Rattus norvegicus: one gene and its partners. The protein of the gene in region 4 purifies or fractionates together with the protein of the main gene of each other region. This does not show direct contact. Links are inferred from orthologs where the notes say so. Each region holds a gene or a part of one and is shown on either strand. Other genes may lie near its edges.

What was found.
Region 1: the proteins of Exoc5 (region 4) and Exoc8 purify together in Homo sapiens (affinity purification with mass spectrometry; 5 studies listed by BioGRID and IntAct, counting the BioPlex papers as one, with this or other methods). This does not show direct contact. The link is inferred for Rattus norvegicus from reciprocal best matches to the Homo sapiens genes EXOC5 and EXOC8.
Region 2: the proteins of Exoc5 (region 4) and Exoc2 fractionate together in Homo sapiens (co-fractionation; 4 studies listed by BioGRID and IntAct, with this or other methods). This does not show direct contact. The link is inferred for Rattus norvegicus from reciprocal best matches to the Homo sapiens genes EXOC5 and EXOC2.
Region 3: the proteins of Exoc5 (region 4) and Exoc1 purify together in Homo sapiens (affinity purification with mass spectrometry; 4 studies listed by BioGRID and IntAct, counting the BioPlex papers as one, with this or other methods). This does not show direct contact. The link is inferred for Rattus norvegicus from reciprocal best matches to the Homo sapiens genes EXOC5 and EXOC1.

Annotation. Positions count from the first base shown.
Region 1 is NC_086037.1:69,752,077-69,756,015, reverse strand, and holds Exoc8 (exocyst complex component 8), read left to right. Parts: upstream 1-1,139; 5' UTR 1,140-1,293; coding exon 1,294-3,444; 3' UTR 3,445-3,629; downstream 3,630-3,939. Other genes in the region: DNA-dependent metalloprotease SPRTN, read right to left, coding at 543-763. UniProt on the Homo sapiens protein: Component of the exocyst complex involved in the docking of exocytic vesicles with fusion sites on the plasma membrane.
Region 2 is NC_086035.1:33,713,732-33,717,755, reverse strand, and holds the start of Exoc2 (exocyst complex component 2), read right to left. Parts: upstream 2,801-4,024; 5' UTR 2,660-2,800; intron 1-2,659. UniProt on the Homo sapiens protein: Component of the exocyst complex involved in the docking of exocytic vesicles with fusion sites on the plasma membrane.
Region 3 is NC_086032.1:32,011,328-32,015,347, reverse strand, and holds the start of Exoc1 (exocyst complex component 1), read left to right. Parts: upstream 1-1,220; 5' UTR 1,221-1,351; exon of another isoform or gene 1,352-1,565; intron 1,566-4,020.
Region 4 is NC_086033.1:24,821,442-24,824,941, forward strand, and holds part of Exoc5 (exocyst complex component 5), read right to left. Parts: intron 1,838-3,500; coding exon 1,743-1,837; intron 731-1,742; coding exon 583-730; intron 1-582. UniProt on the Homo sapiens protein: Component of the exocyst complex involved in the docking of exocytic vesicles with fusion sites on the plasma membrane.

The DNA of each region.
Region 1 (3,939 bases), on a different chromosome or scaffold from region 4:
AAAAAACAAACCCTCGCCTGGCATGGTGGCGCAGGCCTTTCATCCTAGTCCGTGGGAGGCAGATGCAGGAGGATCTCCCAGTTCCGGGCCAGCCTGGTCTACAGAGTGAATTCCAGGGCAGCCACAGATACATAGTGAGACCCTGTCTCCAAAAAAAAAAAAAAAAAAAAAAGAGCCAGCAAATCCTTATCCTTGGGCAGTTCAACGAAAGTCCCTGATAGAGGGCTTTTTAATAACACTTGATCACCCTCACACCCTCACCCACTGTTATCCTCTCTGCTCCGCACCGGGACTTGTCACGGGGCCGATGTGAAGTTAGAAGTACGCTACGTCTCAGCCTGCTTCAGCTCAGGCTGCTATGTGACGGTGTATATGCAGGGCAGATTATTATCTAGAACAGGATTTCTCAAACTCAGTGGGTAGATGAGGGATCCTGCTGGTACATCTCTGAGAGCCGTTGGGCCACGAGGAGGGGACACACCAACGACAACTCAGCGCCCTTGCCCTTCCCTACGTTCCGAGCCGTTCGTGGGCGCACTCACAGTGTCATGCGCACACTCCACTTCACCTCCACGGCCTCCAGCTGACCCCAGAAGAAGCGATCGTTAAACTGCAGGAAGAGCGCCTGCAGGTCCGGGGTGGGGTCCACCAGCTCCCAGGACGCGTCCACCAACGATAGGGGCTCCCGCGCCGCCGCGCGCCGCGCCGCCTGCACGTCCCACTCCTCCTGCAGCCGCAGCGCGACCACCAGATCCTCGTCCATCCCGATACTCTCACTTCAGCCGCTCCCAAGACGCCGGTCGGGCTCGTGAGGCGTACGGATCTCGCGAGACCTCCCGGCCCCGCTGTCAGGGCGCGCGGGCTCGCCTCGAACGCCTAACCGAAGGTGGCTCGGCTCTGCCCCGCGGACACAGACTTAGGAACGCTGGGCTCGGGGTAGGGACGGCTTCAGGAAGCCAGTTGTCTCCAGACCGCCGCCGAGGTCCAGCGCCTCACGTCAAGTCTGGTCCGTGCCCGACCCTCCTCTGACTTCCGTACTGGCCCGTCCGCGCACGCGCCTTAAGACGCTGCCGTTTCCGCGCAGGCGCGTCGTCGACACTCCGCCCCGGGCGCAGGCGCAGTGTGAGAGTCTCGACTTTGGCACAGGCGCAATGCAGCGCTCGGCCCCGGCGCAGGCGTTTGGGTGTTGCTCCCGCCCCGCTTCCTCTACCGCTTCTCCACCGGGCTCGGGTGGGGCCGGGAGGCGGCGAGTGACAGCCACTGCGGGCCGCGGGAGCAGGGCGGGTGGCAGCCATGTCGGACAGCGGGGCGAGCCGCCTGCGGAGGCAGCTGGAGTCGGGGGGCTTCGAGGCGCGGCTGTACGTGAAGCAACTGTCGCAGCAGTCGGACGGCGACCGCGACCTGCAGGAGCACCGACAGCGGGTGCAGGCGCTGGCGGAGGAGACGGCGCAGAACCTGAAGCGCAACGTCTACCAGAACTACCGGCAGTTCATCGAGACGGCGCGCGAGATCTCCTACCTGGAGAGCGAGATGTACCAGCTGAGCCACCTGCTGACGGAGCAGAAGAGCAGTCTGGAGAGCATCCCGCTGGCACTGCTGCCCGCCGCTGCCGCGGGCGCATCCACGGGTGAGGACACGGCGGGCGCGGGACCGCGGGAGCGCGGGGCGGCCCAGGCGGGCTTTCTTCCGGGGCCGGCCGGAGTCCCTCGCGAGGGCCCCGGGACGGGAGAGGAGGGCAAGCAGCGAACGCTCACCACGCTGCTGGAGAAGGTGGAGGGCTGCAGGGACCTGCTGGAGACACCAGGTCAGTACCTTGTGTACAACGGGGACCTGGTGGAATACGAGGCAGACCATATGGCCCAGCTGCAGCGAGTGCATGGCTTCCTCATGAACGACTGTCTGCTGGTGGCCACTTGGCTACCACAACGGCGAGGCATGTACCGCTACAACGCACTCTACCCACTGGACCGCCTGGCTGTGGTCAACGTCAAAGACAATCCACCTATGAAAGACATGTTCAAGCTGCTCATGTTCCCTGAGAGCCGAATCTTTCAAGCGGAAAATGCCAAGATTAAACGCGAGTGGCTGGAAGTGCTGGAGGAAACCAAGAGGGCGCTCAGCGACAAGAGGAGACGGGAGCAGGAGGAGGCAGCCGCCTTGCGTGCGCCACCACCGGTCACTTCCAAGGGCAGCAACCCGTTTGAGGATGAGGCCGAGGAGGAACTGGCCACCCCGGAGGCAGAGGAGGAAAAGGTTGACCTTTCCATGGAGTGGATCCAGGAGTTGCCGGAAGACCTGGATGTTTGTATTGCGCAGAGGGACTTTGAGGGTGCCGTGGACTTGCTGGACAAATTAAATCACTATCTTGAAGATAAGCCCAGCCCACCTTCTGTGAAAGAGCTGAGGGCCAAAGTGGATGAACGAGTGCGACAGCTCACCGAGGTGCTTGTGTTTGAGCTCTCCCCGGATCGCTCTCTGAGAGGTGGCCCTAAGGCTACTCGAAGGGCAGTGTCTCAACTGATCCGTCTCGGCCAGTGCACTAAGGCTTGTGAGCTGTTTCTGAGGAACAGGGCGGCAGCTGTGCATACTGCCATCCGCCAGCTTCGAATTGAGGGCGCCACTCTGCTCTATATTCACAAGCTGTGCCATGTCTTCTTTACCAGCCTCCTAGAGACTGCACGGGAGTTTGAGACAGACTTTGCAGGCACGGACAGTGGCTGCTACTCTGCCTTTGTGGTCTGGGCAAGGTCTGCCATGGGCATGTTCGTGGATGCTTTCAGCAAGCAGGTTTTTGACAGCAAGGAGAGCCTGTCCACTGCTGCCGAGTGTGTGAAGGTAGCCAAGGAGCACTGCCAGCAGCTGGGAGAGATTGGGCTGGATCTCACCTTCATCATCCATGCCCTCCTGGTGAAGGACATCCAGGGGGCCTTGCTCAGTTACAAGGAGATTATCATTGAAGCCACCAAGCACCGAAACTCGGAGGAGATGTGGCGTCGGATGAACCTGATGACTCCTGAGGCCCTGGGCAAGCTCAAGGAGGAGATGAGAAGTTGCGGGGTCAGTAACTTTGAGCAGTATACGGGGGATGACTGCTGGGTGAACCTGAGCTACACTGTGGTAGCCTTCACCAAGCAGACCATGGGCTTCCTGGAGGAGGCACTGAAACTGTACTTCCCAGAGCTACACATGGTGCTCCTGGAGAGTCTGGTGGAAGTCATACTGGTTGCTGTGCAGCATGTGGACTACAGCCTGCGCTGTGAGCAGGACCCAGAGAAGAAGACTTTCATCCGGCAGAACGCATCCTTCCTTTACGACACTGTCCTCCCAGTGGTGGAGAGGAGGTTTGAGGAAGGTGTGGGGAAGCCTGCCAAGCAGCTGCAGGACCTTCGGAATGCATCGAGACTCCTGCGGGTGAATCCTGAGAGCACCACGTCTGTGGTCTGAGGCTCTGGTTCGATGCTGTGTGTGCGTCTGTCTGTCTGTCTGTCTGTCTGTCTGTATGTATGTATGTATGTCTGTACACACACATGTACTACAGATGCATTGTTTGTATTCACATTACACAATATCAACACATTCCTCAGACACAAACAGCATATAAAAGTGCCCTCTTAAAAATGCAGTCAAAAGAAGAAAGATAATGTGTTAAGTGCTCCCTCCCACATAGAGGGATTATTAGAGCACATACTGTGCTTTTTTTTTTTTTTAAACTCTTTAAGGAGTGTATGGTCACAGCAGCATTTCAGGTCACTCTTTAACCTGAAACACACTTGTCACAGTAGCACATCCTGGAACATTGCACTTCTGTGCTGCCTAGAAAAATATGCAAGTCCACAGGGTTTAAGTTGTGAAGCATTCCAGTTCAACAAAATGGCTTCTGAACGGTCATTGCTGTGTAGCGCCCCTGTGTCATGTACTCAAGAAGCAAGCCAAATTGGG
Region 2 (4,024 bases), on a different chromosome or scaffold from region 4:
GGGTTCGGTCCTCAGCTCCGGAACAAAAAAAAAGAATATTCAAGAAGCTTTTTTGATGACCAAGTGTTATTAGGGGAAGGCAGCTGTCAAACAAGTTGGTTCCAAATGCCATGCTTGACCGAAGGCTCTCAAATAACCAGAGAGCATTTACCCATGCTCCCTCACTGCCACTCAGAGGCAGCCCAGATTACGCTTATGCTGATCATTGTGAATAGTCACTACCAATCGAGTTCTACAGGGAGTCGTGGGGGTACACACCTACACGCCCCAGAGTTCATCACTCAATGCTTCCTCGTACCACTTAGTAACCAAAGTTATTTCCCACCCGATCAACCTCAAAATCACCTACTTTAATGTAAGCCTAAAACTCATCTACTAGATAAACACTAAAAACATAATCTGTGTACTATGCAGTAGGCGCTACTAGGAGCCGGGGCCTGATAAAGGTGAGTACAGAAAAGCCGGGCATAGATAGTGGTGTGTGTCTTAGCACTGAGGAAACTGTGCCACGAGGATCACTTCAGCCAAGCTGAGCACCTGAGCAGAGTGAGACCAGAAAGTGTGTGAAAAGGTTAACTAAGAGACAAGTTTATCCCTAGCGTTTCCTACGTGGTAAGATCCTGCTGTTGCTATACACTTAGAGATTCTATTCAACACCAAGTCTTTTACCAGAATGCAGATTCTTAAACTGTGGGTGGCAATCCTGTAGGTTATACTGAATATAGGTAACGGAATGTGGAGGTAGAGGGGGAGAAAAAAAAAGTTAAGTCTTCTGAACACATGGGGTCAAAAATGAATTTAAAAATCAAACATATAGTGAATCAAAAGTGTTACTAGGAGTACTCAATCCAACTTTATCACAGCATTGGTTCTGAACTCTCTCTCTCCCTGTCCACGGTGCCATGTCACGAGAGTATTAAAACCAAACATACAAACATACAATTCAGAGTCAAATCACTTTATGTTACAAATAGCAGTCGTTTTCACTGTATGTTACTAGTTGAACAGAAAATATCTCCTATAGGCTCCAAACCTCCTAACACTGTTTTAGGTAGTTTTGAAAGCTTTAGGATGAAGAGCCTTGTTGTGAAAGTGAGTCGCCAGGGGGTGGGGACTTGAGGTTTTTGAGCCCAGCCCTACAGCCTGACTTCTACCTGCTTCCAGTTCCTGAGGTGTCCCAGGGCACAGTCCTGCCACCATGGAGCTGCCTCACCAGCATGGGTGATATAACTCCAATCTATAAACCAGACTAAGCCCTTCTTCCCTTATGCTGCTTGGCAGGAACTTGGTTACACCAATGGAAAACGAACACACACTATATATATATACAAAGTGTTCTGTTCTTAAAGAAGAAGAATGGTTTGATTACAGAAAGCAAAGACTATATACATTTCCCTACCTGGCCTTCCTCAGCATGCAATCATCAGATAAATGGGTCTTTGACTCGTGTTGTGTCAGGATTTTAATTTGAAGAACTGCTGTTTAGAGTTGCTGATTTGAAGTTCTAGAAAGATCATCAATGAGTTTTGCTTGGGAGTAAGGACAAATTTGCAACAATTTCCAAAATGTTCCTAACTGCACTCCTACCATTTTGTACTATGTATTTATATGGAGCAATGTTCCCAGTACTGATGATTAGAAAATTAAAATAATCAGTTCTGAAAAGCATTGAAGATGCTCAGTGTCCTGTGGTTACAAATATTAAACCAAGACTTAACTCTTTATGTAAAGAGAATTGAGTTATCCAACTCTACGCTTTCATCTTTAAAAAATGATGTTTACATGTATACAAAAATAAAATGCTTTGTGATTTACGGTTAGTGAATGGCTACATTGCCTACCTATTTTATAAAGTCATGAATATTCTTTATAAGTTTTAAGTGGCAAGAGTTGAAAAAGCCCCGTACAGCCTTTACAAATGTTTTGAATGTAACCTTCGAGGTGTCACCTTTGGAGGCTAATAGTTCAAAACGTCTGGAACAGTAAATTAAATAATTGACAAGGGAAAAAAAAGACCACTTTTCAATGTCCCCAAAAATTCTTTCCAACAAACGGAGTAAACAATCTGTTCCCTTGCTTAAAAATACTTTTACTGAGTCAAACAAAAGAGAAGATGTAAGAAGCAAGCTCGCATCAGCGTCTTTCGAATCACAAATTTTTCACATTTAGATCTTCTTGTTTTGACTGTCAGTTTTGACTGCCACTGGCGGAATCTGTTACCAAGCCTGGGCCATCACATGCTAAGCTTTATAAACAAAGTCTTACTATGCATTAGTAGGGAGATAACCAGTAGCCATTAGTTTTTTGGTTTTTTGTTTTGTTTTGTTTTGTTTTTTGTTTTGTTTTTTTTAGTATAAGGCATCCAAATGGTCTAATGAAGGTGTGGCTGAACACGCACTTGCTACTCCCAGAGTAGTAAAGAAACCACTCAAGCTTCCCATCCGCGTTAGTATGGGGGGGTTACGCGGATTAAAAACCAACCCTCCATATCTGCCGCTCCTCCCGGGTCCAGCCCGGAGGCCAGCGCGGAGGCGGGTGGGAAGACTCGGCCCGCAGCTCCCAAACGCGCCCGGGTCCCTCACGGCGCCGTCCCAGGTCGCTCAGCCCCGACGGTTCGGTGCCCTGCGGTTCCACTCCGGGCCCCGGACGCTACACTTACCTGCAGCTTGCAGGCGGCGTCAGGTCCGGGCCAACCCGCTCCGGGCCGCAGCAGTCTGCCGTAGGGCCGCACTTCCGCACGCCGCGAGCGCCGAGCACGTCGATCCGCCGCCTAGCCGAGCGCCGAGTCCTGGATGGGGGGGGGGGGAGGACTAGACTATGGAGAAGGGAAATTAGATGGAGATGACAGACAGGATGAAAGTGGAGAGGGAGGGACGAAAGGGAAAAGGAGGGGAAGGGGAAGAGGAAGGTAGAGAGGTGGAAAGAAGAAGAGGAATTGGTGGGAAAGGGAGAAAAGGAGGGAAGCAGAAAGGAAGAGAGGGAGAAAGTGAAAGGGTGGAATTAGGAGAAGAAAAAGAGGGGAGAGGTAAAGAGGTACAGTGGTTAGGGTCACAGTAGATATTGCTAAAGAGTTCACAATGGGTCAGGGATCAGCTCCAGGGCTGAGGCAAACCTCAATCAAAGGACTGCATCTAGCCAGGAGTACCCCGCCTTAAGGGATCTCACAGGTCAAAGCTTTGGAGTTCCAAGGCTCTGAGAGGCAAATTGATTTGCAAACTCACAAGACCCCCAAATTATAGAAATGACTTCCATCTACAATCCCAAAGCCCTAAGCTTTGAGTGTACCCTCCTGTGTGCTGGGCTCTAGAGAAGGCCGGCTGAACAGAAGCAGGAGTTCCCCTGTGACTTCCTCCATAGCAGTCCAAGCAACAAAGGACAGTGGCAGAAGCATAGAACACGGGTCTACTTGTGGTTGTGTTGCCATGACTGTAGAGAGAAATAGCTACAGGGTTCCCATTATCTAAGACCATAACAGCCTAACCTTTCTAACTCTGAGACCCTTTCATACAGTGCTCTGTATTGTGCTGACCCTCCCACCCCACAACCATAAAATTATTTTGTTGTTACTTCATAACTGTAATTTTACTACTGTTATGAATGCAATGTAAATATCTGTTTTCCCCTGTGAAATGATCATTTCCCCCAGAGAAGCTGAGAGCCACTGGCCTAAGCTCTCTTTTCTTTCTCAAGTATCTTTATGTGCAGCGTTATGCATTCACTCAGTGCATACACTGAGGAGGGTGCTGTTCAGGTACTACGAATTAAGAGATATCATATGGCTTCATTTTGCTCTCCTATTTGTGAGAAGATATGTCAAAATGTTTCCAGAACCATCCCTTCTGAAGAGCAAGGGAACACTCCATACATGAGGGAGAGGCTTGGCAGCAGAGGTCCTAAGGAAATTTGGTAAGAAATCTCTGGCAGTCGCATAGCCTTTCACAGTGAAACAAAACTCTTCAGGTCTCAGTGACTTGACGTTTATCAGGTAAGGCTACCCTGCCAGCAAAGCCAGAATGGTGGCTCT
Region 3 (4,020 bases), on a different chromosome or scaffold from region 4:
GGGAGGAGGAAGAGGAAAAGGAGGAGGAGGAGAAGGAGAGGAGGAGGAGGAGAAGGAGGAGGAGAAGGAAGAGGAGGAGAGGAGGAGGAAGAGGAGGGGAGGGGAGGAAGAGGAGGAGGAAGAGGAGGAGGAAGAGGAGGAGGAAGAGGAAGAGGAGGAGGAAGAGAAGGAGAGGAGGAGGAAGAGGAGGAGAGGAGGAGGAGGAGGAGGAGGAGGAGGAGGAGATGATCATCCTGGTAGAGTATGTTATCCTGCCTTCGCAATCACCTTTTCTAGTTCTACCTCATTATGAACTCATTCAGTATAGAATTAAAGCTTGAATGGCCTTTGTACCTGGAAATCAAAGTTCCCAGCACTCAATCCCTGCCAGGGATGTGGCCTAAATGAATCACTTGTCTTATAGCTCACAATCTTGGCATCATTCATGCCTCTCACACTGAAACAAGTATCACCTTTAAAACAAAGATTCTGTTTCAGTATCTGATGTGAGCCGGCGGGTGCAGTTTCTAAAAAGCACCCAGGAAGGTCTGCGCAGTCCGCCCGGTAGAGTATGAAGTGCGTAAGTGACATGGTTCTAGACCTAAACACGTTATGGGAATTAAGTGGGGAGAAATTAAGGATACTAGTGATGTCTAGGTTCCTCTCCCAGAGATTCTGACTTAACTCATTGAAGTGCTCCGAAGAATCTAGAGTTAACAGGATTTTACATATGCAAAGGAGAAAACATTTAATGAGCTCTCAAATGATTTGCCACAAATATCAGAATGGGTACATCTAGAAAAAGAAAATACCACCATTATCAACTCCTCTAATCAGTGGTTATCTATGCTAGTGGTTCTCAACTTTCCTAATGCTGCAACCCTTTAATACATTTCCTCATGCTGCAGTGGGTCCCAACCATTAAACTATTTCATTTCTATTTTATAACTGTAATTTTGCTGCTGTTATCAATTGTAATGTAAATATCTGATATATGGGATATCTGATATGTGACCCCTATGAAGGGATCATTTGACCGCGAAAGACCCACAGGTTGAGAACCACCAGTCTACGAGCTTGCGGGTTCGGTCCTTGCCTTTTCCACGCCCACTGTCTGGCCCGGTCCCACCCATCAAGGCAACGTTCGACCTCCTCCAAGTCCATTGGTCAATCTGTTCCCTTCCATTGTCTCCGTTTCCGGCTCCACAAGATCAACTTCCGGTACAGAGCGGCACGTGACCGGATACGGGAAGTGGCGGCTTCTGGCCGCTTCTTTTCCCAGCTCAATGAAAAGCGTTTCATAGCTGCTCTTGCTGCCGGCGCCCTTGTAGAGTCCGTCTTGGAGCACCAACCTCGGCCGGCCGGCCTCGCGGTAAGCTTCCGGCCGGGGACCGGCGGTCCTGGAGGTGGTAGCCTAAGTGGAGGCAGTGTTCAATCTGCGTCAGGTCGGCCACTCCCAAGTGACACGGCCCACCCACCCTGCTGCCCTCCAGGGCTGCAGAACCGCTGCTGCAGAGCCCGGACTGAGTCCTTACTTCTTCCTGTCCTGGGCTCTGGGAGAAGACGGAGCCCGGAGGCAGCCTAGGGTCAGTCCTCAGTTCCGCCCATCCGGGACAGATTTCATTTTTGCCAAATTAGCGTGGTTTGGGAGAGGAGAACGTGACCTGGCTTCTGCCGGTCCAAATCAACAAATATGTCCTTATAAATCTTAAAAGGGCGTTGCCCAGCCTCTGAGCAGTTTTCGTTTTTTGGATGACAAGTCTTGAGATGTCACTGCAGTAGATGGGCCCAACCCACTAAGGCACTTGCACTGACACACAGTGTAATGATGGCCCTATCAAGGTGCAGGAAGTAAGATACGCGATGAACAGAGGTTAGCTGCCTCTGTAACGGGCAGCCTTGAGGTTTTAGAAGGCGAAGAACTAAAGAGAACCCAGAATATGGGCGTGGGTTTTAGACTTGGTAAATAGTTGTGAAGGCCACTATTAATAATACTGGCATAATATAAAGTTCTGTATAAACATTGGAGAATTCATCACTAACCCCAAAGAAGACTGACTGTTACAATTCTACATCATCCCATTCATGTCTTTCAGATTCTCCACTATACCCCCAGAGTGCTACCTGGCACTTAGTGAATAGTAATATTTGTTGAATTACGTCTAATTTCTTTTATGAGTTATAACCAGTCCTCTGCTGTTTGGCTGTTTACCATGCACGGAGTCTTTAGTATGGTGAATATTGGCCTGAGTTAATTGTTCTGTTTACCAGTTTTTACTGTTTCAATAAAACAGGTTACACCAAGAGGTTGTAGTAAGTACCCAACACACAAACCTGTGTTAGAGCACCCTCCCTCCTCCTCTTCCTCCTCCTCCTCCTCCTCCTCCTCCTCTTCCTCCTCTTCCTCCTCTTCCTCCTCCTCTTCCTCTTCTTCCTCTTCCTCCTCCTCCTCCTCTTCTTCCTCCTCCTCTTCTTCCTCCTCCTCCTCCCAAGAGATGACTGTGGAGACCTAGGAGATGATACTCATGTCCCCATTAGATAGCAAGCACTTGTCTCGTAAATACAGTAAGTGCTCTAGACATTTGCATGGGAAGAGCAATGAGGATTAAGACTTTTACTGAGTCAGCTTCATCCAAATGGAGAAATGTACGTTTGAATAGGGAAAAGATAATCTGGCCTGCATGGGAAAGTGCTTAACCAAAGATTTCAAGTCAGAAACAACACAGTGCTTTGAATGCAAGGCATGGCTTGAGAACAGTGGTATAATGAGGACTGGTTTAAAGTTATTTACTAGTTTTTCAGGGAACTTGTAGAAACTTTAAAAAAAGAAAAAGGTAACAGGTGCTATTACTTAAAGGCAGTAAATCTTGGTTGCTTGGTAGCCAGATGGGGGAAAAGTAAATTATATGTAGATGGAGAAGTCACTGCGTACGCTAACAGATTTCACGTTGGCATGGAGGAAGCAATGAACTAGGGCAGAGTTTGAGTCTGGGTTGTTTTCTTATAGATTCAAAAGTTGGAAAGAGGTAACTTGGAGGGAACTATCCCTGGTCTGTTGTTGAGTGCAACAGTATTTCCCTAAATGTTTACTAAGCACTCGCTGTGTGCCTCGTGGCAAATGCTAGGAATATAAAGATGGATAAGATGAGATCCTTGCCGAGAGAGAACTGCTTTTAGTAGGGTCTAGAGTGCACTAGCTAGAAAACACTGGTTGGAGAGCTGCTGCCAGTAGAGGTAAGCTGGGGAACAGAAGAGGAGGAAGGCTTCAAAGAAGATGCAGTGTGTTATCAGAATGGTTGAGGGTGAGTTGGAATTTGCAGTGACAAGAATTTCAGAATGAGGAAAATAGTGAACAAAGCCCAGAGACAGTACAGTAAACTGCAGTGTCCACTTGAGTTTGAGGATAGGATAGAGTATCGCTTTAATGTCACACCTGGGCCCTAGGGCACATTAAGGGGTGTGCCACAAGCTAGAGTCATCTGAAAGAAGGAAACCGCCATTGAGAAAATGCCCCCGTAAGATCCAGCTGAAGGGCATTTTTTAAATCCGTGGTTGACGGGGGCTGGATCATAACAGCAGTTGCATGCCTGACTTGCAGAAGGGACTGCAGGACTGTTCTAAAGCCTCCCTGCCATTTGTGATCCTCCCAGCTGGGTGGGGGAGGCCCCTTCCTCATTGCTTACTGCTGTGTGTCCTGTGGGTTTTTAGCCTTCCCAGCAGTTGAAAGTAGGATTCTTGCCGCAGATGTCAGTCGTATTTCCCAAGTGGTTGATGGTATGAAACCTTTTGGGTTTCTGGTGTGCATCTTTGCAATAGGCAAAGGGCGGCTGCACATGTTTTTCCTTAGCACCATCCACGCCCCCTTTTCTTGTGCGTGGTCTCTCACCAGATTGGCGCTCCAACCATAGGTGAAGTTGTCTGCTCAGTGCACTCCAGGGATCTGCTTGTCTCTGCCTCCCCAGCATGAGGTTGCAGGCAGGCTTCCCCATGCACTGCTTGTTAAATGAGTTCTGGAAACTAACAAGATTGGACTTGTGTCCT
Region 4 (3,500 bases):
GGGGGGATCATGTATCAGATATCCTAAATATCAAATATTTACACTATGAGTCTTAACAATAGCAACATTACAGCAATGAAGTAGCAACGAAACAATTTAATGGTTGGAGGTGAGCACACCATGAGAAACAGTCTTAAAAGGTCCCAGCATTAGGAAGGTTAAGAACTACTGCTCTCGGGAATAACTTGTTCCAGGTTGGTCTTATTTATGATTAAATTATATTAAAATGACTCCTTAAATATCCATACTAGTAAGGTAGTTCTCAAAATGCAGGGCTAGGGACTAGTCAGTCTTGTGAAAGCTTACTCAATTAAGAGGTGGGAAGCAAGGGTCACTTCTAAGCATCTACCGCCCTAACCTGAACAGGGCAGCACTGGGTTAGAACCCATCTAGTAGCACACCAACGACAATGCTAGGCAGTCACAAACAAACATTAATATCTTATTCCACAGGAACAAAGTTAGACGTTAATACAATTTGACTTGGCTCTTCAAAGACCTAAGGTAAAAGGGTTGAAGAAACTGTGTGTAAGAGAATGAAGATGTTACAGTTCATAGCCGCTCATTTCTGAGCTAAGTGTACCTGGTTGCTTTTCTGCAGCTCTTGTACCTTCTTAGCAAACTCCTTTGCCTCCTTCTGACACTGCTGTTCTAACTTCTCTACTTTCCTTTGAATCCTTTCATCCATTATCTGTAGTTCTTGAATATGATTCACAAATTCTTCTAATAACCTAACAGAGGAAAGTAATAGTACAATCAATTTGCCTATTATTAGCCATAAGGAACAGACCAGTTTTATGAAGGTTTTAGTAAGGGTCCTCTGAGACAGGGACAAGTGTATTCACTTTCTTTACAGCATCTTGTTGCAATTTATTTAATGTCATAGCTTTCTTTCCACTTAGAACAGGTCACGTGACTTTAACAATACATAGCATTAGGAAAAACAGCCAGTTGTTATTGACTTTGCAACGGATTATCTCTAAGGTAAATAAAAACCTGAACAAATCCCCATTAAATATCCAAACAAGCTCTACTTTATTTAAAATTCAAGAAGACAAACGTACAACAAAAATTGTATACATTATAGACTTTATTGACTGTTTCCCTGATTTACAGCTATTAAATTTAAAAGAACATAGTCAACTTTTTCTTATTATTAATTTGCTTATTCAGGATCAGGGTTTTGCTATGTATTCTAGGCTAACCTCCAACTCACAACCCAGCCTCAGCCTCTAGAGTACTTAGATCGCAGGTGGTCAATACCATACCCACAAGTATAACCAGCCTTTTCTAATTTAATGCTAAGTGGAAAAATTAAATTCTTAATAAAGGATAAAATCCTTTTACCCAATCAGCTAAGGAAAAACACTATTTCAGACTTCTAATGCTGTTAAGAAACTTTATTTAAAAGATTTATTTATTTATTTATTATATATGAGTACACTGTCGCTGTCTTCAGACACACCAGAAGAGGGCATCAGATCCCATTACAGATGGTTGTGAGCCACCACGTGGTTGCTGGGAATTGAACTCAGGACCTCTGGAAGAGCAGCCAGTGCTCTTAACCACTGAGCCATTTCTCCAGCTCAAGAAATTTTTGAGGTGGGAAACAAACTATTAATTAAAATTATTTTATATGAATACTCAAAAGAATTCCAATACAGTCATCTCTACTCTAAACACAATTCGTAGTACTATATGGAGACTGTTTTGTTTTGTTTTGTTTTGTTTTGTTAAGTTTACCTTTTAGGATCAAAAGCTTCAGGTCCACCCCTAGAACCACCTCCCGGGGTTCTCCACACGAGACGTTCAATGTATTCATCGGCCACAAAAGGCTCCTGGTTTATAGAATAAACATATTTTAAAAGGGCTTTTGTTGTCGTTGTTTAAAAATCTTCAATAAATAAAGCCAATTGTTTAAAGAAAAGTAGGATGCTAAAATATTAGAACAGCATTACTGACTAGTAGGATGAGCCAAATAGAAAATGAGGAAAGGACATAAAAAGGTAATTTGTTAAAAAACAAAACCAACCAACCAACCAACAAACATCTCAAGCCAAAACCAAAGCACATGTACAGTTTTATTAACAAAGACAAGTTCTCTTTCTTCGGGATGGGGAGAAGAGGTGAGGATGAGGGGGATAGCATATCGCTATGCAGCCTTGACTGGTCTGAAACTTGTTATGACAACCAGGTTGACCTTAAACTCACAGAGATCCTCCTGCCTTTGCCTTGCCAGTGCTGGTGGAATTAAAGATATGACATGCAGCAAGTTATTATTTTTTAATCTAAGAAGCAGAGAAATATATTTTAATTACAGAGCTCAATGTAGCAAAAAGAAAGTAAACTGAAATTTGCACTTTCATTACGGTGGAAAATGTTAATAGATTAACCATTTAAGAAGACAGCTGGCAGCTGTTTTGGTAAAATCAACAGTGTTACACACACTCAGAGCTTTAACCTCATAATTTTATTCTCTGATCACTTGAAGATTGAGGCAACATAACAAATTCAAGGCCAGTCTTGGTTGCATAGCAAGCCCTGTCTCAAAATTTTAAACAGAAATTAAAAATAAAATAAATTTGCAAGGAAATGCATATATAAACAATTCTGGAGTAACTATGCATTATGTGTAATACTCAAAATTATTTATTTAAATATTTAATGAAATTGTACTTAACATAGTAGGTAAACTTAGATGAGAAGCTATGTTCTATTAAAAAAAATCACATAAAGCAACATTCAATGAAAAGAGAAAACCTGTATACACTGTAACAAGCATATTACATTTTCTCAGAAGAAGCATCATTATATTACAACTGTATAGGTTACTGAAGTAGACGGTCCAATCAAAACTAGTGACTATGCATGTTAGGCAATGTGCTCGCCTGCAATCCCAGCACCTTCAAACTTCTGAAGGACAAAGACTTGTGAAGGCAGTGAAAGATGAGGCCACGGAGTCCCCTAAGATTATTAGCAGGTTTCTTATCACACTAGAAGCCAATGCCAATCAGTTCAAAGTACTAAATAAAAATAAATAAATAAATAAATAAGGGGTTGGGGATTTAGCTCAGTGGTAGAGCGCTTGCCTAGCAAGTGCAAGGCCCTGGGTTCGGTCCCCAGCTCCGAAAAAAAAGAAAAAGAAAAAAAATAAATAAAAATTAAAAAAAAAGGCAAAGAATCCTATAGCCAGCAACATCAGCATTCAAAAGCAAGGGAGAAATTGAAATGTTTCTAGATCTAAGAAGGGCTGGAGAGATGGCTCAGTGGTTAGGAACACTGGTTGTTCTTCCAGAGGTCCTGAGTTCAATTCTGGACAACCACATGGTGGCTCACAGCCATCTGTAATGGGATCTGGTGCCTTCTGTATGTCTGAAGACGGCTACAGTGTACAATGTTCCTAAGTTTAAAACATAGGCAGGCAGGTGGACAGACAGACAGAGACAGACACACAGATAAGAATATGTTACCACTAGACCTGCCCAGAATGTAAGGTGAAAT